Danio rerio: one gene and its partners. The protein of the gene in region 3 purifies or fractionates together with the protein of the main gene of each other region. This does not show direct contact. Links are inferred from orthologs where the notes say so. Each region holds a gene or a part of one and is shown on either strand. Other genes may lie near its edges.

Region 1 (5,052 bases), on a different chromosome or scaffold from region 3:
GTAAAGTCTAAATAGGATACAGCTGAGGATACTTCTCATTAACTTCTGATTGCAGCTGTATCCCCTCAAGCAAAAACCACAGGAGAGATCCGAGCTGCTGGATTTAAGTCATGTTTATCCATAATTTTCTTCTGAAATTCATGAAGGTAAGCAACTGTTTATCTGGGAATAGAGAAAATATTCTAGTAACATAAACAGTGTGTATCTTACTTGAAAAAAGCACAGTTATATTGAAAAATAATTATTATTGCCATCTTCATAGACATCAGCATATATTTTACAAATAGTAAATGGTAAGTTTTGCTTGTAGTCATGTGTATTTGAATGTCTGACAGCACGAAAAAATTGTTATCTGACAAGTGCTGCGCACCTCTTGCTGTGCCTCAGCATGCGCCGTCAGATTAGAATTTTAGCAGTTGATGACGAGCGCTCTGAACATTCTAATCACACCAGTGTGATCATATGCTTCAGGGACCAGTCAAGGCTGATCACACCAGTGTGACCATACGCTTCAGGGACCAGTCAAGGCTGATCACGCCGGTGTGATCGTACGATTTAGGGACCAGTCAAGGCTGATCACACCAGTGTGATCATATGCTTCAGGGACCAGTCAAGGCTGATCACACCAGTGTGATCATACGCTTCAGGGACCAGTCAAGGCTGATCACACCGGTGTGATCGTACGGTTCAGGGACCAGTCAAGGCTGATCACACCAGTGTGATCATGCGCTTCAGGGACCAGTCAAGGCTGATCACACCGGTGTGATCGTACGGTTCAGGGACCAGTCAAGGCTGATCACACCGGTGTGATCGTACGGTTCAGGGACCAGTCAAGGCTGATCACACCAGTGTGATCATGCGCTTCAGGGACCAGTCAAGGCTGATCATGCTGGTGTGATCGTACGGTTCAGGGACCAGTCAAAGCTGATCACACCAGTGTGATCGTACACTTCAAAAACCAGCCAAGGGCGATCATACATATGAAACGGTTAAAGTGCTCTAGTGTCTGTGTAACTGTGTTTGCACTCGGTAAACCGCAGTGAACTGATGACCATCACAGCCAATGACAATCATTTCTGTTGAGCAAGTGAACACAATGGCCTATAAGCGGTGTTTAAGAACAGGCTCAACAGCACTTACATGATAGCAGGAAATGGACGTTTTTAAAATTTATCAAATTCAATACTTTTGACAACACTAGCTTGTGTGTGTGCGTTACCGTCAGTCTCTTGTGGCGGCTGTATGAGCTCCAGGGCTGCGGTTCGAGGATCAGCACTCCTCCAGGTAACAGGTGTCTGTAGATCCGCCCAAACAGCCTCTGAATTCCAGCGTCGCCGTAGTTCAGGTGAACCCACTTGGTCAAACTCAGACACAGAATGACATCATACTCCGCGCTCTGTGACACCACTGCCGCATCACTGTCCGGCACATAATCGCCCTGCAGGACATCCCACAAACACACACACACGTTTATAATGGACTGCACAATATTGGAAACGTCTGACATTACGATATTTTGTTTTATATATTGCAATATGAATATAATTACACCAGATGATTTTAGTAGCTCTTTTTAGAAGGATTTCATTTATTTATACTGGTATGAGTCTTCTTCTGTGCAGTGCATTTGCATATATATTATAATAACTATGGCAGCACGGTGGCTCAGTGGTTAGCACTGTGGCCTACCAGCAAGAAGGTCTCTGGTTCGAGCCTCGGCTAGCTCAGTTGATATTTCTGTGTGGAGTTCGCATGTTCTCCCCGTGTTAGAATGGGTTTCCTTTAGGAGCTCCGGTTTCCCCCACAAGTCCAAACACATGCGCTATAGGGGAACTGATGAACTAAATTGGAAATAGTGTATGTGAGTGTGTGTGAATGAGGGTGTATAGGTGTTTTCCAGTAATGGGTTGCAGCTGGAAGGGCATCAGCTGTGTAAAACATGATGGAATAGTTGACGGGTCATTCTGCTGTGGTGACTGCTGATAAATAAGGGACTAAGTCAAAAGAAAACGAATGAATTAGTTATAATAAATTACAAGTATATAAACATGGCATTCGTGGTTTTCTTGGGAGTCTAACACAAGTCTAGCACAGAAATTAAACAATCCAACCTAAAATAACAGGGTCATAATTGTATAAAGGAATTTTTAAAGATAAAAACTTTGTGTTTTAATCTTTAATAAATAATGTAATCCTGTGATGTGACTATTGCGCATATGCACGATCGATGCTCAAACAGATATATTGTTCAGCCATGGCCCCCATGAATCTCTGTGCATTCGGGTTTAAAGGGAAACTCAGTTCAACCCAAAATTAAAATTCTGTCATCTTTTCCTCATCCTCCACTTATTCCAAACCTGTTTGTGTTTCTTTCTTCTGTTGAACACACATGAAGATACACTGAAGAATGCTGCGAAAAAAGAACAGCTATTGACTTGTACAGTTTTTTTTGTTCCTTCTATGGATGTCAATGGCTCCTTTTCCCCCCCATCGTTCTTCACAATACCTTTATTTGAGTTCAACAGATGAAAATCAAACTGGTTTAGAAGAAAGAAATGTGCGTTATAAAAAAATAGTAATAAAATAGTGTGAGTAAATGAGGAAATTTGCTGTTTTGGGTGGTGTCCCTTTAAGTCCCCACCAGGATATAAAAACATGAAAAAACACACACTCACAGGGGCATGTCAAAACCTGACACTAAAGGAAGGTGTGGCTGAACACACACACACACACACACAACTCTGTCTGCATGACTAGAAATACTCAAGATAGGAAGCCTTGTTTTGCAGGGAGCATGAACAGTATAAATAATGGATACCAGAGGGTCCAAAATACATGAAAACATGAATAAATTAATATTAATAATAATTAAAAATATATAAATAAAGAAAAATAAATATGAATAAAAATAAATAAAATTATATATATATTTTATATAATTGTAAAAATAAAATATATTATAAAAATAAAAAAAAAATAACATTTAAATAAATATAAATTTTTATATTTATAAATTATTAAAAATGTTAAATGTTATTTTTTATTTATTTTTAATTGAAAGAAAGAAAGAAAGAAAGAAAGAAAGTGTTAGCATGAATCTGAAACAGGCTTAAAGTCTGCTTAAAGCGGATGTTTCACTTCCTACAAACTTCAGTGTTGTGACTTCTCTGGCTACTGAAGTGTACTATTCAGAAAGGGCGGGGTTTACATTGGAGGGGCGTAGCTATGAATGTTCTGGCCAATCAGTCAGACTGACATCAAAAGAAGGTGGAGATTCCAGAGCGGAAGCACATCCTCAGATTCTGATCAAAGATGAACGACTCTAACAGTCCAGTTGAATGTCCTGACATATTTAATTTCATTTAATTTCTGTAATTATTTTAATTTGAACAAACTATTTGATGGTTTTAGCTTTAGTTTTAATAAACATTTATCACTAGTTTATGGTAAGTGAGATTTAAACACACAGACTGAGAAATGCTGCTTATTCAAATGCAAATTTTCAATCCAAAAATTCAAAGAACAAACGGATTTTTCATTTTTTATAAAGCTACACAGAAATATTTTATATTTAATATAAATTTATAAAAAAACTTAAATATTAAATAAGTTAATAACATAAAATGTCCTATTATTTTAGAGGTGATTGTGGTAATTGGCTGGCTGGCGGCGTGGCATCACGTGACGCTGCTTCCAGGCCTTCATTAAACTGTATGGGGAGACTCAACACATTGTAATAATAAACGTTGCCCAATATCAGATGTCCAGAAAGAGATTCATTTTTAAAAAATTGTTAAAATATTGGTGTCTGTGATGCAGCATGTCAAGAGACTGTTGTGTACACCACAATTTAATATAAAATTCACTTTAATGTGTGATATGACTAAAATGGTCAGGAACAAATCTTTTCTCTAAGAAATAATTGCAATTATGCAATTAACTGTCCAATTGTCCGCACTGACGCTTAATAGTCTGTTTTCGAGTCCATCCAGAAATGTAATATGTGGCCAAATAATAATAATATAGGGCATGTAAAAAAATTCTAGGAAATATTTTGATCTTATGTGCATAAGTACATTTCTAATAATTGCAAATGAATTTGTAAACTGATATTTTTCCAATATTTTGTAAAAAAAGAGGTGTATATGTTATTTTATATATGTTCATGATATAGACAGATGGGTTGATGGGTTGATGGATGCAGATAGAAATATAGATAAATAGACAGACAGATAGAACTATGATAGATAGACGGATGGATGGATGGATGGGCAGACAAGACGGACGGACGGACGGACAGATATGGATGGATGGATGGATGGATAGATAGATGAATGGATGAATAGATAGATAGATAGATAGATAGATAGATAGATAGATAGATAGATGAATGGATAAATAGATGAATGGATGAATAGAGAGAGATAGATAGATAGATAGATAGATAGATAGATAGATAGATAGATAGATAGATAGATAGATAGATAGATAGATAGATGAATGGATGAATAGATAGATAGATAGATAGATAGATAGATAGATAGATAGATGAATAGAGTTAGATAGATAGATAGATAGATAGATAGATAGATAGATGAATGGATGAATAGATAGATAGATGAATAGATAGATAGATGAATGGATGAATAGATAGATAGATGAATAGATAGATAGATGAATGGATGGATGGATAGATAGATAAATAGATGAATGGATGAATAGATAGATAGATAGATAGATAGATAGATAGATAGATAGATAGATAGATAGATAGATAGATAGATAGATAGATAAATGGATGAATAGATAGATAGATGAATAGATAGATAGATAGATAGATGAATGGATGGATGGATAGATAGATAAATAGATGAATGGATGAATAGATAGATAAATAGATGAATGGATGAATAGATAGATAGATAGATAGATAGATAGATAGATAGATAGATAGATAGATAGATAGATAGATGAATGGATGAATAGATAGATAGATAGATAGATAGATAGATAGATAGATAGATAGATAGATAGATTCCATATATAGAAATA
Region 2 (5,718 bases), on a different chromosome or scaffold from region 3:
AAAACGACTCTTGCGCCAAGCTGAAACTACCAAAAGACTATTGCGCCGCGCCACACTGCGCCAGGTGTATGATAGGGCCCTTAATGTTGACTAATTATCATTGTCGACGTTGAACACAGACAAAATCGCAGGAGCCTTATTAATGAATAACAATTATACACAAATGCATCAAAGTCCTTACAGTCATATGCTACATGATCTTAAGTGATATATAACCAATATGTATTTTAAATACAGAAGATGAAATTAAGTTTGTAAAAGCTCATAATATCATTTTTCCCCACAATTAAAGCTAGCAGATGTTTTTTGTAAAACGTTTTCTTAATTTAGTTCTTTGTGACCCTAAACATAGGTATAAACTCAAAGTATAGACAAAAACATGTTAAATGCAGCAAAACTATTCTAGTAGAACATTTGTCTGCTACTTTGAAGATTTTTAAGAGCCTTATAGCTAAATATATACCTAAATGCTCTTGGTCTGAGATTTATAGATAAGAAAGAGCCAAGTATACCTTTTAATCACATGAATTTATTAAAACAATATTTACCTTTCAATTCGCTTTTTTCCTCTTCAACTTTCCTCATTTTGGATGACATTTCATATTGGTCTTCCCCAGATGATGCCTCAAAACTCTGAGAACGCAATCTTTTCTTCTTGGCTTTCTTGCTTACTGTGCTTGTCAACGTTGCAAGGTTTGGTTCACTGGTAACTGTGCTCTCTAACATTCCGTCTTGATCCATATTATTACTTCCAGTTTCTTCTGAAGTACTGTTTTTAAGCTCCGTCTTCTTTTTCTTCCCATCCTCATCATTGTCTAAAAGTACAAAATGTGCTATTAATAATATACTGATCATTTAGTTATTATGGTAGAAAGACATCAACTGGCCACTGCCCTCTTTTACATTAAAATATTGTCAAATTAATTTAGGCAGTATTTTCAAAATACATAAGGCATATCAATGTTACCCTGTGTGACAGCATCAAAAGGGACAGCCTTTTTCCTACAAGTCTTTGGGAAGATTCCTGGCTTCCTTGGAGCATCTTCTGGAGGATTGTTCAGCATCTGTCATTTTAAATCATAAATAAATAAACAATTAAAAAAATAATAAAATAGAATAAAATAATAATAATAATAATAATAAACCAAAAATATGATAAACATAAAAATAAAAAAATGGGTGTGTATACCCAAAGCTAGCAACTTGGTGTTTGTATTTACATTATCTTTTCTGTATTTAATAACAATGAGCCCTATCATACACCCGGCGCAATGTGGCACAAGGCCTGACGCAATTGTTGTTTGCTAGTTTAAGCTTTGGCACAAGAGTCGTTTTGAAGTTTTCCGCCACGCTGTTTAAATAGCAAATGCATTTGCGCTCATATGTGCGCCCATAGGTGTTCTGGTCTAAAAAGGAAGGCGCGTTGAGGCTCATTGCTGGCACGTTGCTATTTTGAGTAACTATAATAGTCTGTTCTATAGACCAGAACAAAGCCGGTCCATTGTCCAGCTCAGAATGCGTTAGTTGTGCGCCTCACTTACACATTGCTTAATACACACAAGATGTAGAGCAATACGCAAATATCTTTACATATGAAAAAGAATTAAAGTACTAAGGATATATAAATAGGATATATTGAGGATATAAATATAAGATAAAAATATAAAGGATTAAAATATTACAAAACATATTATATTCTAGCCCACATAAATATAAAAACCATACTTCCATGCATGCCTTCTTCATCTCGGGAGGCTTCTTTAGTTCATTCATGACTATTTGCTTTTGTGCAATGTTATTATTATTAGCTGTATTATTTATTATATGTATATTTATATTTGTTTTATTAAAAACAAGCTTAGATTTATCCACCTGTCAAGTTTTAGGCCATATGGGGCATAGCATGTGTATTAGGATATAATTCAGTTGTTTGAACACACTTTGTTAATATTGTTCATTTATTCATTTGCTGGAAATTAGAACTGAATTAAGAAATAGTTTTGAAACAAATCATTGCGTTTAATGAACAAAACTAATTATTTATAGGCTAATTGATGTCTGTGCATACAAGGTTTACGATCCACGAGAGCAAAAGTGAAAGTCGATAATGAGAAGGTCTTATCTCTTATTCTTATGCTGCAGACGCTCTGTTTAACTGTTTTCTTGCTAGTAAAATGCTCAGTTTTTCCTCTTACTTTACGTCATGTAAATAGCAAATGCGCTATGGCGCGATGCAACTGAATATTACAGGGAATGGGAGATGAGACTCTGATTGCTTTATTCTCAAAACACACCATAACTCCTTGAGAAAATAAGCTTAAGACCATGCGCCATGGCGCAAATCGGGTTTTTCCATTCTTATATTAGAAAAAGTGGATTCTGACACGCCCCTAATGCGTTTGCGCCCTGTGCTTTGCACTTTGATCGTCAAAATAGAGCCCAATAAATTATATAAAATATTAAAGTTATCAACAGTTACCTCAACAGCTTTTTGTGCTTGCTCTTGCGTCTCAAACTCCACAAATGCAAATCCTTTAGAATGCCTTGTGGACTTGTACCTGGGGATACTAATATAAACCACATGTCCACATTTGCTAAACACTCGCTCCAGCCAAATGTGAGTGACTGTCTTTGGCAACAGCTCCTAAAACACAATTTCAATTTTAAGAGAATACACATTGAAATGACACATACAGTATGCTAGCATTATTATGTATACTTATTTGTAGTAATTTACCACATAAACTGTGCGACTGTCCACATCTTTTGGGGTTTCACCAAGTGGTTCCTTTCGTCGTATACGAGTTCCCTCATCATTAACCTAAGCACACCACAGCTGTGTTACAGTTGCTAACAAAGTAAGTGGATAATTCTGAAATAAAATTCATTTTATAAAGGACAAGAAATTGTCAAACCAAATCATACCTCTACTATTGTTGAGTTTTTAAGAGCCCTGGCTATCAATTTGACATCTGCAGTTAGGTTTTTCATTCGGTTAAACGTTGTCAGGACGGCAATGTCAATATCTGCAATATATAAAATGTTAAGTGAAATATGTACGAATGATGGGTATCCTGACAGATAATCATACAATTAATAAAGTTACATACATCCATCTCGTGATTGCTCAATGATACTCTTCATGAATCTGTCCTTGTGAAGATTCACATCACCAAACCAAAATTCCACCTGCTTCTTCACATCAGACAGCAGCTGTTTCACCCGGGATCTCTTCTTTTTCTCGTTATCTTTTTTCTCACTCAAGTCTGCACAGGCGGTGTCCCCGACAGAAGACATCTTCTCTGTGTCTATCGTCTTGCTATGGTTGAATCAAAGTCATAAAATTATATATCTGAAATTGAATAACAATTACGTCGAGCTGGGTATCCGTTTCACATTTCTGTCTTAACATTCCCGCTCTCCCAGTTAACTTAAATAATAATCACTTAACATTACCGTTGACACACTTTCATCCAGTTATTACTTTACTAAAATAACACACATCACCAATTTATATGGTCATACTATTATTGTAAGATACTTTTATAGCAGAACACTAATAAACTTAGTTCAAAGCAAATCGTTCGTTTACGAATTTTACCAATGCCGACGACTCATTTTCTTTAATAGCTGCTGCTGCTGCTGCTGCTGCTGCTTCTTCTTCTTCTTCTTCTGGATTCTACCGACAGCTTGCACCTTTTTGTCCAACTACTGCCATCTTTTGTTGTTATATGTCATAGCAGGGATTGCTAAAGGGAATTTGATATATCGCCCTCCGAAGATAAATACAAACCCACAGAGCACAGACGTTTCAGAACCCACAATCCCCATTCCTGAGAACATTCCTATTTTTACTAAGTTGCTTTTTTAATCCTTACCTTGATTATCCTTAGTTTTTACACTTACAAAGTCCACCAATAGCAAATGTGCCATGGTGCGACCAATGACTGTAAGGGTGCAACCAAGCGGCCATAGATATATACACTAGATATCGCATAGGGACCCTGATCATGCGTCAATAGCGCCGCCACATTGGTGCAGTGCTCCTAGGACAAATGTCATTCAACCGCACTTGTCAAGACAGTATTATTACGTGAAGATGCGGGACTTTAGCGCTGTCTACGGGTGTAGTAACGAGCAAACGAAAACAAAGCACAAAGGCAGAAGATTTCATAGGTAAGATTAAGTTTTTACGTTTTTGTATGTTATGAACTTTTGTGCTAAACAGGTAACGTTATTGATGATAATCAATCACTTAACGTTACTGCATTCACCATAAGGCAAAGTAGCTCCAATTCGCACTAAATACTCGGCTTATGCTAGTTTTGTTGAATAAAATCAGCAAACAATGCAAAAGAAATATGACAACGAGATGAGTCGTTCATAAGGGAAATTCATTCACAAACGAATCGCTCCCTCCGTATGAGTAGTAAAAGCAGGAGAGGAGGTGTGTTTCAGGGCACGGATTAGATCAAATTTAACAAGGAGGGTAGATTGTACATTTCCGAATACACAAACACAAGCTTTTTGTCAGGAATGCCAATGCGATCACTGATCCATCAATGTAGAAAAGTGATGTAAAATGATAATTTCGTAATTTAAAAATTAATTTGCATACTAACATCCAGGAAAACTCCCGATCATAGATATATGTGTAGATCTCTGGCTTTGGATGGCCACAGTCCTCCACCACTGTACCTTGGTCCCGCATTTATTTCAAAGGAGCGCTACCCTGTTCCAAAATGGCGGCATTCTTTTCAATAGACAACAACAGGGTAGGCGACATTTAATGTATATATCTATGCCAAGCGGCAACCTCCCGCTTTCCCTCGATATCCCTGGATAAATTTATATTTATTACTTTTTTTATTTATTAATTAATAGTTATTTGATTTTACTGCTAAATTTTGGTTTAAAAACAATATTGCTTACTATAGATTACTACAGTATTTAATGTGGTAAATCATTTATTAAAAAGTTATTAAAAAAATAAGAAAATAAACACTATTAAATCGCTTGAGTAAAATATTAATTTAGTGTTATACATTTGTTACATGTAAAAAGATTTTTATTACATATAAAATGTATTATTGCCGATATTAACTTGCTACTTCCTTCATTAAATGAATCCGTTATATAAATTAAACCTGTCTAATTTAGATCGTTTAGCAAGGCCAGCAAACGAGTATCTGCCATATTATTGTCAGATAATAATGACTGATCATCTATGATGGCTGATAGAAAACTGTTCAGTTTATTATATTGAATGGCGATCGGAAACAACGCTCTCCATTCACCCGTCTTGATTGCAATATTTGTGAAATAAAGTAAACACTATTGTTTATTGTTTACAATATTTATTAACCATACATTTTAAAATTAATCGATGACGATGTTCAAAAAGACATTAATAACATTAGCATCTGTTGTAACCATATATGGTTTGCCTAGATTGTGTGTGCCAGATTGTGTGTGCCATAAGCTATTTTGCAGGTCAGAGTTCACCAAGCTTGAACTTTGCACCGCAGCAACCTGTGAAACTTAAAGCATTACCCTGTGTTTCCAGTCTGACACATTCGCGTGCGTATGAATGGAAGTCTATGGGAGGAAAAGCCCAGTGTGACCGCAACTTGAAGCTGCAGTCACACTGGGCTTTTCCTCCCATAGACATGACCTCACTGTACAAAAATTGAAAACATGGAGCAATCGCTCGCCTTT
Region 3 (5,592 bases):
CTGGACTGCTGAGCAACGCTAATGTTAAGTTCACTCTGGCGGAGATCAAGAGGGTCATGCAGATGCTGCTCAACGGACTCTACTACATACACAGAAACAAGGTACAACAGCAGGCTTACTAGAGTGAGCTCAACTGTTTTCATTAGTTAAGAAAAATAATCACAATTGAAACCTGCTTTTACCTGCTGCCGACCTACATCAACACGATCACTTTAACGTATTTGCATAAACCCCATTTGCCCACAAAATAACAGCACTCTGAAAGGGCCGTTTTATTTGAGTCAGGAAAGACCCGTCAAAACAGACGTGGCTAGCTGACCAATCAGAGCAGAGCTAGCTTATGGAAGGGTTTACAGACCTGAATTGATAAAAAAATGTATGCATCTTTGCTAAATACTTGTGATCAGGGCACTGTAATTGCATAGTTTGAAATATTTTGTTAGAGCTGGCACACACCAAGCTGACGCTTGGCCATTGGGCTTCGCTGGTCCAGCTAGTTGGTTTTGATGTGTTCTACATGTTGGGTTAACTTGAGAGCTTGTTGGTTCAATTCTGTGTGTAGAATTGGCATCGGCTGTCGGGCGTTGTCTGATTGGTTTTTCAGCAACAAATCCGGGTTTGAGTGCGACTTAGCAAGTAAAGAAGTCATGCCAAGAAGGGTCACAAAGAGCATGTGTAATTCCGCCGGTCCTACACCACCCAACCCGCCCCGAGCTGGTATCGATCCGGCGACCTTCCGCATGGGAGTCGGGTGCTCTACCAAGGAGGCTAAAGACCATGGCTTCTAGTGTCCATCGCTAATAGTAATGTTTACCTGCACAGCACTTACTAGCTGGCCTCCGTTACACTCAGCCCCCTAAACCTCACTCTCATCCGGGTCACGACACCTATGTAACCCTGCCAGTCCTACACCACCTAACCCGCTCCGAGCTGGGATTGAATAGGCGACTTTCCGCATGGGAGTCAAGTGCTCTACCGAGAGATTAAAGACCATGACCTCTAGCGTCTGTCGCTAGAGGACCTTTAGAGGTCAGAGGAGTGAGGTTTACCTGCACAGCACTTACTGGCTGGCCTCCGTTACACACAGCTCTAATTTCACTATATTTCCCAAGTATTTGCAAGCTATATGGATTATTAATTAGACATATTTGCACAAGCAAATCCCACCGTGGTGAGTGACTATTACTGTGATTATGGGCGCTGAACGCTGCTTTGTTTACAATTGATGCTCATTCGAAGTTTGGTTTCCCTTTGTGGAAGGAGAAAACAGATACTGCCCCCTGCTGGTGGGGAATGACATGTCCTTGCACAGATGCAGAATGTGGCTCGTTTCTGTCGTCTTTTGTCAGTTTGGTCTGGTCATGCGCAGCTTTTGCTCTAGATGGGATCCAGCACGATAATAATAGGTTTTGTTGGGTGTTGGAGTTTGGCGTCAGCTTGGTGTGTCCCGGTCTTTACATGCTTTTACAAGGCACTTTTATCCAAAGTGACTTCAGTGTTTCCAGACTCAAGTGTATTATGTGTTTTGTTTCAGATCCTCCACAGAGACATGAAAGCAGCCAATGTCCTGATCACCAGAGATGGTGTCCTGAAGCTGGCTGATTTCGGTCTGGCCCGAGCCTTCAGTTTGGCTAAAAACAGTCAGGGGAATCGCTACACAAATCGGGTGGTCACTCTGTGGTATAGACCGCCTGAACTACTGCTGGGTGGGTGAAACCACATCAAACACTTGTTACTTTTCATTTTCGCTTTGTGTTGATATTGTTACGACCGGCTCATTGGAGTCGCAACATGAAAGATCAAGCAACAAAATAGTGCAAATTATTTATTATAATCAAAACTAATACAAAAACAATGATATAAATAATGCAAAACAAACCCAAAATGTTAAGAGTCAACCAGATTCGACTTCTGATTAACCACACAGTGACCTGCCCTAGCTAGCACAACAACTCTTATATACACATTAAAGCAATTATAGATTAGTAATGCAGTCATCCAATCAGGATCTACTACATTCTTTAATGAGGTCTGGGGACTTGGGATCATCACAGTATGGATTTATTTATTTATTCTGTATTTTTGTAGGCGAGAGAGACTACGGGCCTCCCATAGACCTGTGGGGCGCGGGGTGCATCATGGCGGAGATGTGGACCAGAAGCCCCATCATGCAGGGCAACACAGAGCAGCACCAGCTCACACTCATCAGTCAGCTGTGCGGATCCATCACTCCTGAGGTACACACTTTACTCCAGTAATGTTGGAGGATCAGCTCACGCAATTGCCAACCGAAAACATACTTTTCAGATGCTTTGTCAGCTTTTTATTTTCAGGATTTTTGTGTATAATTCACCTAAATTCATTAATTTTCCTTTAGCTTAGTCCCTGATTTATCATGCCAACTACTCTGGCATGTGTTTAATGCAGCGAACGCCCTTCCAGCCGCAACCCAGTACTGGGAAAATTTCACCGAAAATTTCACTCCCTTCAGAATATACTGATTGTACCATTGGGTGCACATAGTCCTCCAGAATGGTTCGGTTGTCCTTGACAGTGACAGATGCGCCAGCGAGACACACACCAATTTGTCCTCTTTTGAACTCTGTCACCCATAATGTTGTGTGCGTTGCAATATTTTTAGAAAAAAATGCTTTTATTCTTTTAATTAAACCTTCACACTCTGCTCCTACTGGTGGAATGTGCAATCACTGGTCAAATTCAGCCATGAAACCTCCAACTTTAAATTGACCAGCGTTTCAGTTTCATTGTCCAACGTCTGTATATTTATTATGCATATGAGATGCACACACATACATAAAGACAATATTTGTTACATAGATATTTTATTCTATTACGCAGTTTAATGAAGTGTATATCTAAATATAAATAAACATTTCTCTAATATATGTATGCATATTTATGTGTTTATATTTACACAAAAAGTATATACAGTACATACATGTTATCTTAAAAGTTTTTTATTTTGGATGCAATTAATCACAATCTTTGCCCAGCACTACAGGGTATCTTAAGTATAAGTCTTAATGTCTTAAATTTTAAAAAACAAATTTAAGCCTTAAAAAGTCCTTAATCCGCTGAAATATTGTGTTGTAGGTCTTAAATTAATTTTAAACTGGTCCGAATTTTCCTCTGTCCATGTAAAGCTTTACCCAATTGGGCCAACATCCATCCATCCAAACACTAACAATATATTTTTCCAATATATTTAATGGTTTTAAGAGACGTTTATTTATTAACTCTATTTACTTATTAATGTGGTTTAATTATTTTTCTTACAATTACCTGTTTTTTTTTTTTTTTTTTTTAATTTCAGGGTTTTCACCTTTTAATTGATAGGACAGTAGAGAGTATAGACAGGAAAGTGTAGGGAGCAGAGAGAGGGGAAAGATCGGCATAGGACCGCGAGGCGGGAATTGAACTCGAGTTGCCAGAACACCAGAGTGCCATGTGTCGATGCACTAACTACTACACTACTAGCACCGACACAATGACCTGTTTGTAATGTTAAGGGTTTTAACTTGGCTATTTGAATAATATTTAGCATTTAGCCTTGTGTTGTCTGAAATTTCATTCATTGTGGTCTTAAAATGGTCTTAAAGTCTTAAATTTGTCTTGGTGAAACCTGTGTAAACCCAGCACTTGTGTTTATTGATCCGCCTGTATTTAACATCTCCATTCTGCACTGTCTCAGGTCTGGCCGGGTGTGGATAAGAAGTATGAACTGTATCAGAAGATGGAGCTTCCTAAAGGGCAGAAGCGTAAGGTGAAGGACCGGCTGAAGGCGTATGTGAAAGACCCTTACGCTCTGGACCTCATAGACAAACTGCTGGTTCTGGATCCGGCGCAGAGAATTGACAGTGATGACGCTCTCAACCACGACTTCTTCTGGTCCGACCCCATGCCCTCTGACCTCAAAAACATGCTCTCCACACACAACACCTCCATGTTTGAGTATCTAGCCCCGCCCCGCAGAAGAGGTCACATGCCTCAGCAGCCGGCCAATCAGAACAGAAACCCAGCCACCACCAGCCAATCAGAGTTCGACAGGGTCTTCTGATTAATCTGTAATTGGTCGAGGAGAAAGAGACTTATTTAAATGACTAAATATACATTTCAGCACATCTTGGCTTGGAAATCCAGGCAGATGCATAGAAATCCTGGAGTTTACCATCTGCACTCACTATTGTAATTACAAAAAATACTGATTGTGGATCAGATGAGTTCTGTTGATGAAACTTTTGATGCTTTATTATGGAGCTTCAACACTTTTGAGAAATGAGTGTATTATTGTGCTGCCCCAGTGCATTGTGGGAGAGAAAAGAAGTGTACTTAGTGTATTGATGCACAGATTGTGTTATTGGATGTGAGTCTCCTGAGAAGATGATTTTGTATTGTAAAGAGCGACACGCTACTTTTGTCTAGGAGACATTTATTTAAACCCTTCACTTCTCTTGACAGATTTTATTGTTAATTTAGCTGCTTATTTTTAAAGATGTTTTTATTTGTAAGATCACGTGTTCAGGGTCATGGTGTTTGTTACTTGTATAAGTATAAATACACCAATAAATCCTCCACATTTCCCATCATTGTTGTTGTTCGTGCTGGAATATTGGGATTTAGCTTGTGGCTAAATGCAATATAATATGAATGCAATATGCTTATATAAAATACAGTATAAATGAATGAATGCCAGAAGATTGTCATATTGACATACTGCACATTATTAAGAAATTAACTGAACATTTAATTATCGCATGCAGTGCTGAGGCTGAGAATTTTTATATTTTATAGATTGTCACAAAACCACAAAGTAAAGTTGTGCTGTAATGCATGCATTTTCTCCATTTGCTGTGTTCTTGTGATGAGGATTCTCCATCCTCTCTGCTGTCAAGCTGATAGCTGCTATTCTACTGTTCTCACATCGAGCCATATCACAATTCCAGTTTTTGTGTCAAAAAAGAGCTCTTCAATTAAAAATAAGATGTGTCACACCATTTAAGGTGTTTTTGAACTTGACTATCTTACACAGTATGTTTATGGAACCCTGGAAAGAAAATCCATAAGAAATTAGATGTCCAGGCTATTTATTTTGTTTTACTGTGTTGCATGATTATGATGCAAAGCAGATGCTATTAGCTGTTGTAGGATAATTAGTACACACTCTCAGAACATTGAACCTCTTTTAGATTTAGAAAACCCTTCAGCCGAAACAAACTTGTAAAAAGAAAAAATACATCTGTCATAAGTGAATATTTTGATTACTTGCATTTTGATTTATAGTATTAAAATGTAGGCATTCATGCTACTGCCTAAAATCCAACGAGATTAACCCTTTAACTACACCACTAAAAAAATGTTTGGATTGCATTTCTTAACTCCTAATGTCGCTGGTTAACACACTCCATGCATTTTTTCCCAACGCATCCCATAATTTATAAAATTTCAGCTTCTATCAAATTTGTCTGTTTATGATAAAAGTATCAGAATTAATACATATACTATGAAAAATAAGAACATATGGTGTAGGGCCAATTTATTTAAAAACAATCAAAATAAAACTTTCTTATATAT
Region 4 (5,850 bases), on a different chromosome or scaffold from region 3:
ACATTTCTGTACACACAAATACAAGCTTTTTGTCAGGAATGCCCGTGCGGTCACTGAGACATCAATGTAGAAAAGTGATGTAAAATTATAATTTTCGCAATTAGAAAAAAAATTACATACTAACATTCAGGAAACTCCCGATCATAGATATTTGGTATATGTGTATATCTCTGGCTTTGGATGGCCACAGTCCTCCACTGTACCTTGGTCGCGCATTCATTTCAAAGGAGCGCTACCCTGTAGCAAGATGGCGGCGCCATTGACGCATTCCTTTCAATTGACAACAATAGGCCAGGCGACATCCAGTGTACATATCTATGAGTGTGCATAAGTATTACCAGAGTTGTCATATTTGGGTGAATTAAACTGTTGTTTTGGAGTCAGTCGGCAGCCAGCACCTAAGCTTTTTACTCATCATAGCACACGTGCTGCTGCTGATGTGACAATAAAAGTGATTTGATTTGAACTAATCCTTTCAGGCTTTACAGAGCACACATTTATGCATTGTACTGAGACAATGCTGACTGATGAACACAACAGTCAATGAGTGAATTCAGAATAATTAGCTTTACGATATTTGATTAAGTACATCTACAGTCTTTTTCAATACTCTGTGGTGTGAAATAAACATCTACAAATGAGCCATTATCTTTAAAGAAAGAAGTTGTCTGTCAAGCTGAAAAGCAGGTCTTCAGAACATGTTAATAGTTTTAAATGGAATCTGACATTTGGCAGGGCTCGTAAAGTCCCTTGTGGCCATTTTGCTCAGATAATAGTAACTGTCTTCTTTGCATATGTCTTATTGCTCAAGGCTAACACAGGGTGTAAGAGTCTAACACATCAGTATTCTAAGGCTATACGCACACAGCTCGGCAGCCCTGTGAATTAACACACAATCTGTCTTCAACCAGTGAAATATCCTGGAAAGCTAATACAGATGAATGGGAAAGAGATATTAGCTGAGGAAGTGATATTAACACATCTCTAATCTGTTTTATAGCCATATCTAAACTGTTTTATAGCCATATCAATGCTTTCCCCCCAAGTTTAAATGAAATACAAGCTCTCATGAGGCTGTCAATGCTGTCACCAAGACAAGATTTTGTATAATAGATTCTGTAAGGTGCAATTATGTAGCATAGATTTTAGGATTCTGGATTGGTAATAAACACAGGGAAAAGAGGCTTTAGAGGGGTTTTGGCCATTTGCAGGCTGGTTTCCAGTCATTTCGAGCCTGGTCTTTGCTGGTCAGGCTGGAAAATGACCAGTTAAATTCAGCTAATACCAGCCTGACCAGCCTGGTTTAAACTGGACATAGCTGGTTTTGGCTGGACTCCCAGTCTGGCTAGACTGGTCAAGCTGGTTTTAGCTGGTCATTTCCCAACCTGACCAGCTAAAACCAGGCTGGAAATAGCTAGAAGCCAGCCTGGAAATGGGCAAAACCCCTCTAAACCAGGCTGGTCGACCAGCTAAAACCAGTCAACCAGCCTAGGCTGGTTTAAGCTGGATTTTTCTACAGGGGAGGCACAATTATCTAAAGAATAGGCACTAGTATCTAATAAATAAGCACTATCTAATACAGTTGAAGGAAAAGATACTAGTATCTAAAAATAATCACTAGTAACATAATAATATACTACTAGTATGCGTTATAGCTTAAATGTTAAAACGGCTTGCCATAAGTGGTATTTCCACATGATATGTGCTGTCAGAAGATTGTAGGCTAATGTATAGTCTATACTTTATAGTTTAGATAGGTATATATAGAATGTATAGATATATTCGATACATATAAAGCCTATAAAACGCTAAACTGTATATTATCCTCTTTATACAGTTTTGACAGCGCTTAATCCCTTAATTCTCTAAACATCGCGAGAAGTTATGAGACAGTAGAGTGACGTCAGAACGCACAGAATCCAAGATGTCGCTTACGAGGTAAGACGCAGAGAAGCTGTTTTTAAGGTTTTATGCTTCAATTTATGTGTTGAAACTCAATTTAAAAGCGTACATGTGTTTTTCATGTATGTACATTTACAGTTTGTGAAAACTCTGTGTTAGTTATTACCCAAGTTGTGTTATGTGAGACGATGAGGCCTGCTGTGTTGTGGTCTTTGTATAATAGTGAATGCTAAGCTAAAGCTACAGCCACAGCAAAAGCAAATAATAACATATTTAAAAGATAAATGGACTTTGAATATCTCATTATTATGTTTTTATTCATTATAATTGCTTATATAAAAGCTATTTATAACTTTAAAAATATATATTTATTCCTGGATGTAATGTGTAACGTTAGGCTAACGTTATTTATCATCGTCGTAGCAATTTTATTTATCAGTGTACATATGCACTATTCCAACACACTCATAGCTCTGCTCACCCCCAAGAGACGGCTGTGTTTGTGGCTCTTAATGCTTAACGTTAGGTAGCATTAACTTTTTTTTTTGACGTAATGTTACAATTGAGGCCATTCGAATAACGTTAGTCTATTAATGCAATAATATTTTCACGTGAGATCGAGCCACTGTTTCAACATCAATCACCCACGTTCCAATGAATATAGGTTGAATTTTGCATCTACATTGCAGTAAAGTTGGTTTTATATACGCACATTCTGTTTAGTGTCAACTTATGACATGCTCCCTATATTGTTTATCATGATACTTTGAATATTCAGTCTTTAATCATATACAAGTATGACTCGAAAGCAACATTAGCACAATTTATTTTGATTGTGCAATGGTATACCTTGATAGTCGGTGATTGCTTGGCTTATATGGTTTCTTATGTAGAGTTTGCAAAGAATACTTTTCTTAAATTGTATTATTAAGGAGAAAGTCTGAATGTGTGAATATAAAACAAACCTTACCTCAATTGTTAGCTGATGGTTTAATAATATGTCATCCTGGCTAGGGCTGGGCCATTAGACAAAAATCAAACTTCATCATAAGTCATCATTTTCTTTACTTTATTCATAACGTCATGATGAATGTATAAATATAAACTAAAAATTGCCCAGTGGTTTAGTGTACAGTGCTCATGGTGTCCCGAGTTCGAGGCTTGTGGACCTTTCCTGAACTTCTCTCTCACTTATCTTCCTGTCATTCTGATTTACTGTTTAATAAAGGCAAAACATTTCAAAAATACATCTCAAATAATAAAATTGAAATATTTTTAGATGTTTTTTTTTTAAGATTGCAACTTTCACACAGTGCTGTTATTCATGTTTTTGTCCACATCCTCATAATGTAGTGTAATATTAAAATAAAATAAAAACATAAAATCATTAAAATTCTGAAAAAGTATTACTGTTAATAATGTATTTTGTGACACCACATAGGATAGACTTTTAAAAGAAATTATTAGATTGCACATCTCTTAATCTGACTTGGCTCTTTTCCCCATTCTCTTTTAGTTTTCTTCCTGCGCCCACCCAACTGTCCCAGGACCAGCTGGAGGCAGAGGAGAGGTCTCAGGCATACAGATCCCAGTCCACTGCTTTGGTCTCCACCCGCAGAGACCCTCCTCCTTACGGCTTCAGAAAGTCATGGGTACCCCGGGCTCTAGAGGTACTAACAATTAAACATTACGTGCTGATAGCTGTCATATATCCTGCTGCATTATGGGCTTGTTCCAATACCCGCATTTGTAAATAGTCAAGTGATAAGACCACATGACATATCCAGTGTATTTAGAAAGTGTGGTTGCAAGTGGGCCTGATCAGGGCTGCACGATTAATCGAAAAAAAGATCATGATCTCGATTTGACCCTACACACGATCTTAATTCAGCTTTTCTACGATTCAGCCAATTCAAGGTCAGGACAGAAGCGTAAAGGCAGTCGCACAAGCCTTCACAGCAATATTGACACCTTCAAATGGTGTTAAAAGTGTCACATACTATATTTATAAGGTATAATTCTCCCAGAAATGTCATTACTGTCGAAATGTAATGATGTAATGACCGCAACCTGTTTGTTTACTACCGAGAACACGCACGTGTACAAAAATGACTCCTCCTTTAGTGAACAGAACCTGCATAGGCTGTGAAAAACATGTAATAAAGTTGTAAATAACGTTCAGTTTGTTGCACAGAACGATCGTTTGAGAGTCGTGCTAAAAGAAAGATTTGCATGTGTGTATTGTTTTCTCAGAGTGACTGCAGGCATTAGCCGCACTCGGAAGTGAAAGTAAAGTCGGCTTGCAAATCATTTATATAATCATAACGCGTTTTACAGTTCTGATTACAACAAACATTTGATATGTTTTTTTTCTTTCATAGTGAACACAGTGTTGTGCATGAAAATGAATGTTTGCTATGTCAGGATAACTACCCTAGCCTATATAATGATAAATATAATGCAAGAAGGAGTCTGATAATGACAAATGTCTCATTTTACCAGTAAAAATGTTCTAATGATGTTGTCAATGACAAATGGCAAGCACTTGTCTCAAACATAATAATTCAACTTTAGAATTATGAATAGTTGTATTCTGATGTCATAATTTTACTGTGAATTAACAAACGGTAATAATAAGTGTTATGATATTTCTTTTGGCTTGTCAATCCGCGGTCTTGACCCCTGATAAATAAGAGACTACACTGAAGGAAAATAAATAAATAAATAAATAAATGAATGAATGATATTTCTTTTAAAGGACTTTGGAGATGGAGGAGCTTTTCCAGAGATCCATGTTGCCCAGTATCCTCTGGAAATGGGTAGGAAGAAAAGGACGTCCAATGCTCTGGCAGTGCAGGTGGATGCAGAGGGCAAGATCAAATATGATGCTATTGCTAGACAAGGCCAAAGCAAAGACAAGGTACCTGATCCTCTTGTGTTATTTCATATTTTATTCATATATTCAGTGGCTCTTACCTAAGGATATGATTTGTTTTCATAATTTTTTTGTTTTTTTGAATAGGTCATATTTAGTAAATACACAGACATGCTTCCTAAGGAAGTGCTAAACCAAGATGATCCAGAGCTGCAGAAACCAGATGAAGAGGCAGTGAGAGAGGTAAGATTACAATTCAGTAGCAGTTTCTGATAGATTTCACAATTTTGTTTCAGTTTCACAATCATGCTTAAGACTGCTATAATGTACCCTTTTGTTTAAAAATTAAATACTATAATTAAATATTTACACAATTAATGCATGTCATTTTGAAATTATGTAAATGTTAACATTTTTCTTAAGTTACTGAAGTGAACTTTGAATAATAAGAAAGCTTAACAATTTTCTATCAGTGTTGTTTGATTTAATTAACATTAGGTTTGTTAGTCTTCATTTACACACTAGTGTCTAATATCAGGGTGTCTGCAGGGTTTTAAAAGTCTTAATGCTTTTAAAAGCAGAAATTTAGCCCTTAAAAGTCTTAAATTCACTAAAATATAGTGGCATAGGTCATTTCAAACCGGTCTTAATTTTCCTGTGTCCAAGTAAAGCTACCCTAACGGACTGACACCCAATAATCCATCTTAAAACTATTTTGTTTATATTTAAGCTTTTTATTGCAAAATTATACAATTCACAACAGCTTCTAGACATTTTTACAGCAAATTCTCCAAATTACATTTCCTAATCAGGGAATGAAAACTAATGCAACACATCCCTTTACATGATCTTCCATTAATATAAAAACTATTTACAGAAGTAACCAGGCTATTAAAAAAAGTCCCTATAAGGCTGAAATTTCACTCATATTGGCCTTGAAAGGGTCTTAAAAAGTCTTAAATTACACTTAAAGAAACCTGCTGAAACCCTAAATATACATGCACTGGCTTGAAATCCTTAACTTGCATTACTCTTTTGTACTGTGGTGTTAAAACAGCATTGATAATGGAAAT
Region 5 (4,971 bases), on a different chromosome or scaffold from region 3:
AACCATCACCGTAACTATATAGATACTGATTCTATAGAAACTGATTCTGACAACTAAATCCATCAATGTTACTATATAGACAACTACAATAAGTAACAAATCAGCGTTACTATGACTGTAACTATATAGACAACTATAACAAATAACAAAAACCATGACTGTAACTATATAGACAAACTACAATAACAGAAATCATGACTGTAACTATAGACAACTACAAGTAATAAAAACCATCACCGTAACTATATAGAAACTGATTCTATAGAAACTGATTCTGACAACTAAATGTAACTATATAGACAACTACAATAAGTAATGAAACCATGACTGTAACTGTATAGACAACTATAACAAATAATGAAAACCATCACTGTAACTATATAGACAACTACAATAACTAACAAATCATGACTGTAACTATATAGACAACTACAATAATTAAATCATGGCTGCACCTATATAGACAACTACAATAACAGAAAACATGACTGTCATTATAAAGATAACTACAATAACTAACAAATCATGGCTAACTATATAGACAACTATAATAAGTAACAAAAACCATCACTGTCAATATATAGACACTGATTCTATAGAAACTGATTCTAATAACTACAACCATCACTGTAACTATATAGACATCTACAATAACTAACAAATCATGACTGTAACTATATAGACAACTACAATAACAGAAAACATGACTGTCATTATAAAGATAACTACAATAACTAACAAATCATGGCTAACTATATAGGCAACTATAATAAGTAACAAAAACCATCACTGTCAATATATAGACACTGATTCTATAGAAACTGATTCTAATAACTACAACCATCACTGTAACTATATAGACATCTACAATAACTAACAAATCATGACTGTAACTATATAGACAACTACAATAACAGAAAGCATGACTGTAACTATATAGACAACTACACAAACACACGCACGAACATGAAAACCAAGACTGAAACTATAGAGATGACCACAATAACTAACGGAAAACATGACTGTAACTATATAGACAACTACAATAACAAAAAACATGACTGTAACTATAATAGACAACTATACGAACACACAGATGAACTCTGAAAGCATGACTGAAACTATATAGACAACTACAAGTAATGAAAACCATCACCGTAACTATAGATACTGATTCTATAGAAACTGATTCTGACAACTAAATCCATCAATGTTACTATATAGACAACTACAATAACAGAAATCGTGACTGTAACTATATAGACAACTACATTAATGAAGACCATGACTGTAACTGTATAGACAACTATAATAACAGAAATCATGATTGTAACTGTATAGACAACTACAATAATTAACAAATCATGACTGCACCTATATAGACAACTACAATAACAGAAATCATGACTGTCATTATAAAGATAACTACAATAATTAACAAATAACGATTAACTATATAGACAACTATAACATAACGAACCATGACTGTTACTATATAGACAACTACAATAACAGAAATCATGACTGTAACTACATTTGCAACTACAGTAACTAACAGACACCATGAGTTTAACAACCAACAGAAACCATGACAGTAACTAAGTAGACAATTACAGCAACTAACGAAAATTGTGACCAACTATAACAACTAACAAAAACACAACTGTTGCTATAGACAACTACAATAAGTAACGAAAACCGTGACTGTAACTACACAGGCAACAACTAACAAAAACTATGGCAGAAGCTAGCTATATAGACAACTATAATAACGAAACCATGATTGCAACATAATGAAATCTACAACTAATGAAAAGCATGACTGTATAGACAAACTATACAGACAACTATAATGACTAACAGAAACTGGTAGAATGTGTGTTACCCGAGTCCTCCTGCATGTCCTTCTCCAGGTCCAGCTCCTCCTCTTCATCCTCCGGCTCGTGGTTCTCCAGCTGAGCCTTGCGAGCCTCCTGTAACACACACGCACACACCATTCATTAGTCTGTAAATGAGAGCTGTAGATGATCACATGAGCGGTGTGTGTGTGTGTGTGTGTGTGTGTGTACTGACCTGAGCCTCCAGCTCCTTCTCATTCATATCTCTGTGTTTACACACCAGCACTGCGTTTGTGGATGACTGAGCGCCAACCTTCGCCCGCCGCTTGCTCAGACGCACCCTGAACACACACACACAAACAAACACACAAGATTACCATCAGACACGTTCATCAACACACACATGAATCCGTGATATACAGTAAGTGGGTGTGCTGATGGTGGGCGGGGCCATCAGTGTGATTGACAGGTACCTGGTCTCCAGCTCATTATAATAAACTCCATCTGCGTCTCTGAAGATGAAGAAGTAGTTCTCCTCGTATCCTTTACTGGCCTTGTTCTTCACGTTCCAGTTATACTCACGAGCAATCTTATATTCATACCTGCACACACACACACACACACACACACACACACACACACACACACACACACACACACACACACACGTTACAGACAGCCTCACACACGTCATCACAGTGGATTGTCAGTCGTGTGTGTGTGTGTGTGTGTGTGTGTGTGTGTGTGTGTGTGTGTGTGTGTGTGCAGAGTGTGTCCTCGTGAAAACTCAAACACAATCTGAATTCACCTGCTCCTATTAAACATGTATGCAGCTTTATGAAAACACTCTGTGAATCTGAACGTGTGTGTGTGTGTGTGTGTGTGTGTCTTACACTTCCTCAGGCATGTAGTCCAGCTCCTCCTCCACGTCTCTCTTGCGTTTGCGCATCGTGTCTTCATTAGGCAGGAAATACGCCACAAACTGATTCCCTTCCTCATCCATCATACCTCTGAACACACACACACACACACACACACACACACACAGCTCATTACATGTGCGCACACACAAATGCATACAGTACAGTACATGCACATACACAGATAAAGATGCGCTCGCACACACACACATGAAGGTACACAGAACTAACAACATAAAGAGAAACACACACATCATCATCATCATCATCATCATCTCACACACACACACACACACACACACACACACACACACACACACACACACACACACACACACACACACACACCTGATCATGGCCTGTGACATCATGTCCACTCCAGCCGGTGCAGACACATCTTTAGGAGCCGGATCAGAATCAAAGATGACTTGAGCACACGGATTAATCCACATCTGTGAACGACACACACACACACGCGCGCACACACGCAAACACACAGTGAGAGCTCCTTTACTATGCAGCGCTTACACTGATTTACTGACTCAACACACACACTTCTGAGCTGAATTCTAGAAACACGGTGAACTTGTCTACTGACGCATGCACGCACACACACACAAACACACACTCACACACACACCACTGCCGCAGCAGCATCTCACACACACACACACACACACACACAACACGTCATGGAGTCACAGCTAGATTATTGCTCGTCTTTTTGACATGTGTGAGTGAGTGTGAATGGAGTGTGTGTGTGTGTGTGTGTGTGTGTGTGTGTGTGTGTGTGAGCATGTGAGTATGTCTCTGAAAGAATGTGCATGTGAGTACGTTTGTGTGCGGAAGTGATTCGAGTCTTTGATTACGTGAGTGTATGACTGAGTGTGTGTTTGAATGTGAAGGTAAGTGTGTGTGAGAGTATCTGTGTGTATGTTTGCAGTGAGCATGTCTGTGATTAAGTGTTTATGAATGTGTGTGTGTGTGTGTATGTGTGTGTGTAAGACCTTGAAGTCAGGGAAGACGGGCAGCACCTCCACCGGTGTGACTCTGGGTTTGCTGTAATGCTGGGAAATCTGAAAGAATCCAACAGAGAGTGAGCTTAGAAATCAGTGTGTGTGTGTGTGTGTGTGTGTGTGTGTGTGTGTGTGTGAGTGTGTTTGTTCCCTCACTGATTTCTGAGCGTCTTCGAAGGTCTTCTCAATGGCAGCGATCTGACTGTCTCTGTCTTTATAGATCTCCTCCTCTGTGAACTGCTGCTTGACGGACACACCGATCCTACACACACACACACACACACGTTACATGACCCATGATCTGCATGTAATGTCAGAGAGGTCAAAGGTCAGACAGGTGTCACTCACTTGACTTCCACCTTCTCGTTGGAGACGCCGTATCTGTTGAACTCAGTGGAGATGTACTCCGTCTTCCTCATCCACGGCACCACCTTCGCATGCTGCTGTGACCTAAACACACACACACACACACACACACACACACATATTATATACACAAACAGGCACACATTGCACACACACGTACACACATTATATACACCACGACATACACGCACATTAAACATGCAGATGTAGATAACACACAAATGCAGACAAACACATGCAGAGATCAGAAACACACACACACACACACACACACACACACACACACACACACACACGTATTACACATCAATATTTACACACCAAAACACATGCAGATGAAGAGACACGTACTATGCACAAAACACAATACACCTATAACACACATACACACACACGCATTCATGCACACACACAAACAAACAAACATTTATACACACACACACACACACACAAACACACTCAAACATTCATACACACAGAAACAGTCATGCACGCACACACACAGGTTATACACACACACGCAAACATACATGCAAAAACACACACTCAGGTTTTATATATACATACACACAGGAACACATGGAGATGAACACACACACACACAAACACACACAAAACAGGTCAAAGGTCAGCTGATAGCTCTCTCTCTCTCTCTTACCTCTTTGAGCTGGATGGAGCCTGGATCTCCTCCTCCAGCAGCTTCTCATCAGCAGGATCCAGCAGAACTGAGACACACACACACACACACACACACACACACACACACACACACACACACACACACACAGGTCAACCGCTTTACATATTGCTGAACAGAAAAGCTCGTTAAAT
Region 6 (5,052 bases), on a different chromosome or scaffold from region 3:
CTGTGTCGCGGTGCTGAGTGGCGCATCCAGTGTGTGACCTGCTTGAGAGCTATCCCATGATACATGACAAAACTGAAAATTCTGTGCCACTGCCACAAGGGGGCATAATAGTCGTGTCCAAATGTCATGTGGAAAGGCGGCTTTAGGTGACAGGTCAGTCTAAAGGCTGATTTATACTTCTGCGTCAAGCGCACACGTATGGTCCAGTGCAGCCTTCATGCGGTCGCATACTTCTCACAGTAGCTGACGCTTACACACACCTCTCAAAAAAATTAACTACACGTCGCAACGACATGTAGCGTAAGCTCTGTGATTGGTCAGTTGGGTAACGCTGATGAGTGTGGGTGAGAGCCAAGAGTGTCAAGTCCCGTGAAGGAGCTCCAGATGGAAAGTTTTGTTTTGCATTTACCAAATGATTAAAGTTGCAGAGCAACACAAGCAGCAGACAGAAGCATAGATGCACAGCTACACACAAGGCATGCGCTGTGGGTCACAGCAATCACTCAACACAGAAGTATAAATCAGCTTTAAGTGTGGTTCAAAACCCCCTTATGAGTACAATAAAATCGAGGGACATGACATTGCCTAGTGTGTTGCAACTGGGGCCTCACTTTGAAGCTAGGGTTGGCGTTCGTATGTGAGGGCCTGGCTGTTTCCCATGGTACCCTGCTGGGTTCAGCCCTAAAGAGCAATGTGGGACCATCCACCTGTAGGCCAACCAGCCGTAAGGGACAGTTGCTCTGTTTATTGGGCAGTGGATATAATCTTTGGACAAAGAATTTGTTTTAAATAAAAATAATTTTGCTAATAAAAATCGTAAAAAAAAAATACAGAGTTTTTGCAGGTTTCACAGATTTAAATTTAAGACTTTTTAAGACATTTTTCATTCATTATAAATGAAATTTTACACTAGCACTAAATGCTAAGGAATTTTTAAAATGGCCCAGATGGAAAAGATTATTATTTGACCTATCAAAAAAATTATTAGAATTTAATACATTTAATAATACAATAATACATTAATAAAAACAATTAAAATATTTTAGATTTTATTTTTTAGCTAAATATTTTAAATATTGTGTAAAAACAAGCAAGCTCTACTTGTCTCCATACACTTTTTTCCCAACATAAACTTTCTTTTACATAAAAATCAAAATGTTTAAAAAGTATAATAAACTAAATCTATGGACAACAATTTGACCAGGACAATGTCCTCAGCATTAAATACACGGAGAACTTTTAAACAAATATTATTGTAGGGAAATAATTCAACCATTATGATAAATAAAGTTAAAAACTACCTTTTTAAAAAGTTTACCTTCTAAAAAAGTTTAAAGATTTATTGAGATGGATTGTTGGTGATTGTATGGGTTTTGGCCAGATTGGGAAGTAATACATAAACAAAGGAAAATTAAGACCTGTTTAAGAAAGATTTAAAGGGTCACGAAACACCAAAACACATTTTTTGAGCTGTTGACAGTCGTATATGTGTCCCACACTGCTAAAAACACTATTAGGACACCTATATTTCGCTAAAAAGTGTAAATTGGTTGTTTTTGCGTTATTTCAAGCAAATTCGTATTTCCGGTTTGAAACGAATTTTTGAAGCTGCGTCACGGCCATGACATAATAGCGTTGTATTCCAGCGTGCAGACTGGGCGTCTGTGCCAGAGTGTGTCTTATTACGTCTTACAGTGTGATGCATTAATGCATGAGTAAGGCTTGGTTCAAACCAATCAGCGCGCTCTATTGTGCAACTTCATTAATATTCATTACTGTCATAGTGTCATTACTGTCACAGTGTTTAGACGGCAGAGACGACACGTTGTATTGGCAAAACAAGCGTGAAGTGTTGCTTTTATAGTTTGCTGCAGTTAAAATTTGTTTTCATTTTCTCTTTGTGAGAGCTCAGCTGGAGTCACGTGTGGATTAACAGTGCACGCGACGCTCGGCAACAATTACTTGCGTGTCTAAGGAGGAACACTGTGTACCTGAGAGCTGTTCTCATCTGCAAACGCTGAGATCCGGATTCGCTTGAAGTCTTCTCTTAAAAAAGACGCGACTCTAGTTGCTGGTGATTGTCCTGTCTCTATAGATTTGGTAAGTGAGCAACCAGTGCTCTTTGTTTATTCAGTTTGTTCGTATCGAACTAAGTTACTTATAGCATCGAGTGTAAACATGTTAGCACCACAAGTAAACTTTAACCTCGTGTAGGATTTTTGCCGCATTTTGTGACCGGAATAACCCACGCGGCTTTCTGACGCTACCTGCCGTGTGCATCTAAGTTTCCGGGAAATGCGGAGGGTTTTTTTCTCTCATTCGCCGTGCGGTATCAAACATTGCATGAAAAATACACTCTTAGAGCAGTTCCTCGAATCAAATATCTCGTTTGTCGCGAGGGACATGAATGAATTCCCTGAGTGAAAGAGCCAAACTGCAGTTAAAGTCCACCATTTAATAATTTGGCAAATAATTCGACTACAGATGTCCATGTAAACACCATCCCTTTCTCCCGTGTTTGTGTGTGTGTGTGTGTCTTGACTCTGAAACTCGCGCGTGCCCAAATAGACACTCCCATACCATTCCTCTTTTCTTCCTCCGACACTCCCCCCTAAACAGAGCTGGACACGCCCACTTTTCTGACTTTTTCCAAAGTAGAGGTGTGAAAACACCCTGCTGAAACAATGGGGTTTCATGGCTCTTTAAGACCCACAACACAGCATTTTAGTAAATTTAAGACTTTAAGACCAAGCAGACACTCTGAAATAGACATTTAAGCACAAAAATAAATTTAAAAAAACTAAACATTTTGGAAAATTCATTTTATGACCCATTCAGACCCTACCTTACTGATGCTACAGAGAATATTAACACATCATTCTAAATATGACTTTCTTAAAAAAACATATTCATTATTTAGCGATTTAATACTTTGCATAACAGTACAGCAGTGAATACCAGACCTTTTTCTCCTGCTCGAGTCTCATGTCCTCTCGGCTGTGCTCCAGAGCAGAAATCACGGCTCTCTCCTGCGCTTTCTGATCTTCCAGCTTCTGCTGCTCTAGAGCCACTTCAATGTGGATCTGCTCCCTCACGCGCTGCTCTGCCAGCTCTCGGTTTAGCTGGTCGATGCGCCGGTGGGCATGAGCAATCAGAGAGTTCAGATCATCTGCGCTCAGCTTTCCCGCTGAGAAAAACATGGAATCCCCTTTACATCACTTTAATAAACCATCATCAGCTTTTATTAATATAAAATGTAGAGAACTTGAATCCATGTAAAGAGTGTGATATCTTACATAGTCCTTTCCAGTTGGCCTGGATCTCAGGTGTGATGTTGGCAAGCTCCTGCTGGAACTGAGCTTTAGCTTCATTTACCAGCTCACTGTACTGAGACACGATCTTGGCCTCGGACTGTGCCGTCTGCACCTGCGCAGGAGACAGACAACACCTAGGATTGAGTTACACATCCAGATGGGATGCACTAATAGTCACTGAGAGCATAAAGCTAAATAGATTACAGGCACAAATCTCATTAATATGTACAGGGGGTTTCTTCAGAGCACATTTATGTTGTGATGTTTACAATACTTACCTTGGTTACAACTTTGTCCAGATCCACAATCATGCTGTGCAAGTTCTCCTCAGCGGCCAGGATCTGCGGTCTCGCCGAATCAATCTTGGATTGTTTTGCTTTGTCGATCACACTACGCAGCTTTTCAAGCTCTCCTCTATATATAGAGATGAAAAAAAAATGAGTGTAATTTGTGAAATACCAAGTGTACATATTTACACCTAAACAACGTGCAAGACTCAAATCATACAAATTGGTTCTTTCTAAAGGTGCAGAGATAAATACAATATCAGAATATTCAATTCAATTTTATCTGTATAACGCTTTTTTTTGTTTACTTATTTTCATTAGAGAATTTGCAGATGATCCCTAAAACTGCGTGCGTGAATATCAAACCTTAAGCCAAGTTTACTGAGCTAGGAGGTGATTGGTTTTCTAAAGTATTTCCCAGTTCACGCTTGAGGGCTCGTGCAGCTTCACGAAGCCGCTGAGGAACAGACTTCACCATGTTTATGCTGCCAAATGTCCCAAATAGTCCTCGCTGCAGCTGTGACGACATAACCTAAAACTCGTCTTGCAGCAACGGCGGCCGTCTGTGGGCGTGGCCAGGCCAGAATGCATTTTCAATTTCAAATCGACTTTCATTCGTCGCGATGTGTTAAATGAAAATGCATTATGTTTTTTTCATTTTCATTTTCATTCTGCAGCAAACATTGCACATATGTCTTGGAAAATGCTAACTGAAATACAGAAATACACTGCCATTTACATATTGCATTATCGTTTTGCGTATTACATTTCAAAATTAATTTTGCTACACACATCCCATGCTGTTATGCTGAAAATGTAATCCTGCATTTCCTAGACGCGAGTGTAAATGCATTTAGGACAAATAACATTCAAATGATCATTTTGCTACAGTTTCTGCTTGTACTTTATTCACATCAAATTCAGTTTGTGTATAGCATTTTCAATTTAATTTCGCTACTTATGAAGCTTTAAAATGTGGATACAATTTACATATTAAAACAGTGTTTGAAATGAGAAATGCAAACAATGTAATTTAATTTACATTTTCATTCTGCACCAAACATTGCTCATATGTCTTGGAAAATGCAAATTCAAATACAGAAATACATTGCCATTTAACATATTGCATTGCCATTTTGCATATTACATTTTGAATTAAATTATGCTACTCATATGCTTCCATACTCTGAAGGTCTAATCGCTGTTTTAAGTTATCCAGAGCTGTATGAATGTACAAATCTTGATTATCACAATATTATTAAATATTACAATTTTATCAACATATACAGCAACACTTTTGCACAATCGATACCCAGCTGATTCAGTTGTTTCATAAGAGGACCGCGCTTCTTCTCTTCTTTTTTCCTTGTCAACATAAAGGCAGTGAGGTGCGCCTCAGGTTTTTGGAATGAAAAAAGCACATTAGCTGTGGTCGGCCCCTTGTTCAACTG

The links.
Region 1: the proteins of cdk9 (region 3) and mepceb purify together in Homo sapiens (affinity purification with mass spectrometry; 10 studies listed by BioGRID and IntAct, counting the BioPlex papers as one, with this or other methods). This does not show direct contact. The link is inferred for Danio rerio from reciprocal best matches to the Homo sapiens genes CDK9 and MEPCE.
Region 2: the proteins of cdk9 (region 3) and larp7 purify together in Homo sapiens (affinity purification with mass spectrometry; 15 studies listed by BioGRID and IntAct, counting the BioPlex papers as one, with this or other methods). This does not show direct contact. The link is inferred for Danio rerio from reciprocal best matches to the Homo sapiens genes CDK9 and LARP7.
Region 4: the proteins of cdk9 (region 3) and snw1 purify together in Homo sapiens (affinity purification with mass spectrometry; 4 studies listed by BioGRID and IntAct, with this or other methods). This does not show direct contact. The link is inferred for Danio rerio from reciprocal best matches to the Homo sapiens genes CDK9 and SNW1.
Region 5: the proteins of cdk9 (region 3) and paf1 purify together in Homo sapiens (affinity purification with western blotting; 3 studies listed by BioGRID and IntAct, with this or other methods). This does not show direct contact. The link is inferred for Danio rerio from reciprocal best matches to the Homo sapiens genes CDK9 and PAF1.
Region 6: the proteins of cdk9 (region 3) and immt purify together in Homo sapiens (affinity purification with mass spectrometry; 3 studies listed by BioGRID, with this or other methods). This does not show direct contact. The link is inferred for Danio rerio from reciprocal best matches to the Homo sapiens genes CDK9 and IMMT.

Annotation. Positions count from the first base shown.
Region 1 is NC_133198.1:47,989,024-47,994,075, reverse strand, and holds part of mepceb (7SK snRNA methylphosphate capping enzyme-like), read right to left. Parts: intron 1,439-5,052; coding exon 1,220-1,438; exon of another isoform or gene 1,197-1,219; intron 1-1,196. UniProt on the Homo sapiens protein: S-adenosyl-L-methionine-dependent methyltransferase that adds a methylphosphate cap at the 5'-end of 7SK snRNA (7SK RNA), leading to stabilize it.
Region 2 is NC_133182.1:62,360,102-62,365,819, forward strand, and holds the start of larp7 (la-related protein 7), read right to left. Parts: upstream 3,675-5,718; 5' UTR 3,619-3,674; coding exon 3,602-3,618; intron 3,598-3,601; exon of another isoform or gene 3,474-3,597; coding exon of another isoform or gene 3,457-3,473; intron 3,320-3,456; coding exon 3,111-3,319; intron 3,027-3,110; coding exon 2,926-3,026; intron 2,822-2,925; coding exon 2,738-2,821; intron 2,645-2,737; coding exon 2,480-2,644; intron 1,065-2,479; coding exon 968-1,064; intron 816-967; coding exon 549-815; intron 1-548. UniProt on the Homo sapiens protein: RNA-binding protein that specifically binds distinct small nuclear RNA (snRNAs) and regulates their processing and function.
Region 3 is NC_133196.1:7,406,672-7,412,263, forward strand, and holds the end of cdk9 (cyclin-dependent kinase 9), read left to right. Parts: coding exon 1-101; intron 102-1,534; coding exon 1,535-1,706; intron 1,707-2,088; coding exon 2,089-2,237; intron 2,238-3,712; coding exon 3,713-4,078; 3' UTR 4,079-4,607; downstream 4,608-5,592. UniProt on the Homo sapiens protein: Protein kinase involved in the regulation of transcription.
Region 4 is NC_133195.1:5,548,457-5,554,306, reverse strand, and holds the start of snw1 (SNW domain-containing protein 1), read left to right. Parts: upstream 1-1,912; 5' UTR 1,913-1,924; coding exon 1,925-1,938; intron 1,939-3,418; coding exon 3,419-3,572; intron 3,573-4,660; coding exon 4,661-4,822; intron 4,823-4,924; coding exon 4,925-5,020; intron 5,021-5,850. UniProt on the Homo sapiens protein: Involved in pre-mRNA splicing as component of the spliceosome. As a component of the minor spliceosome, involved in the splicing of U12-type introns in pre-mRNAs.
Region 5 is NC_133190.1:51,594,942-51,599,912, forward strand, and holds part of paf1 (RNA polymerase II-associated factor 1 homolog), read right to left. Parts: intron 4,866-4,971; coding exon 4,799-4,865; intron 4,225-4,798; coding exon 4,123-4,224; intron 4,037-4,122; coding exon 3,931-4,036; intron 3,835-3,930; coding exon 3,766-3,834; intron 3,211-3,765; coding exon 3,107-3,210; intron 2,849-3,106; coding exon 2,732-2,848; intron 2,441-2,731; coding exon 2,312-2,440; intron 2,180-2,311; coding exon 2,074-2,179; intron 1,974-2,073; coding exon 1,886-1,973; intron 1-1,885. UniProt on the Homo sapiens protein: Component of the PAF1 complex (PAF1C) which has multiple functions during transcription by RNA polymerase II and is implicated in regulation of development and maintenance of embryonic stem cell pluripotency.
Region 6 is NC_133189.1:18,410,892-18,415,943, reverse strand, and holds part of immt (MICOS complex subunit MIC60), read right to left. Parts: intron 3,729-5,052; coding exon 3,593-3,728; intron 3,427-3,592; coding exon 3,297-3,426; intron 3,188-3,296; coding exon 2,964-3,187; intron 1-2,963. UniProt on the Homo sapiens protein: Component of the MICOS complex, a large protein complex of the mitochondrial inner membrane that plays crucial roles in the maintenance of crista junctions, inner membrane architecture, and formation of contact sites to the outer membrane.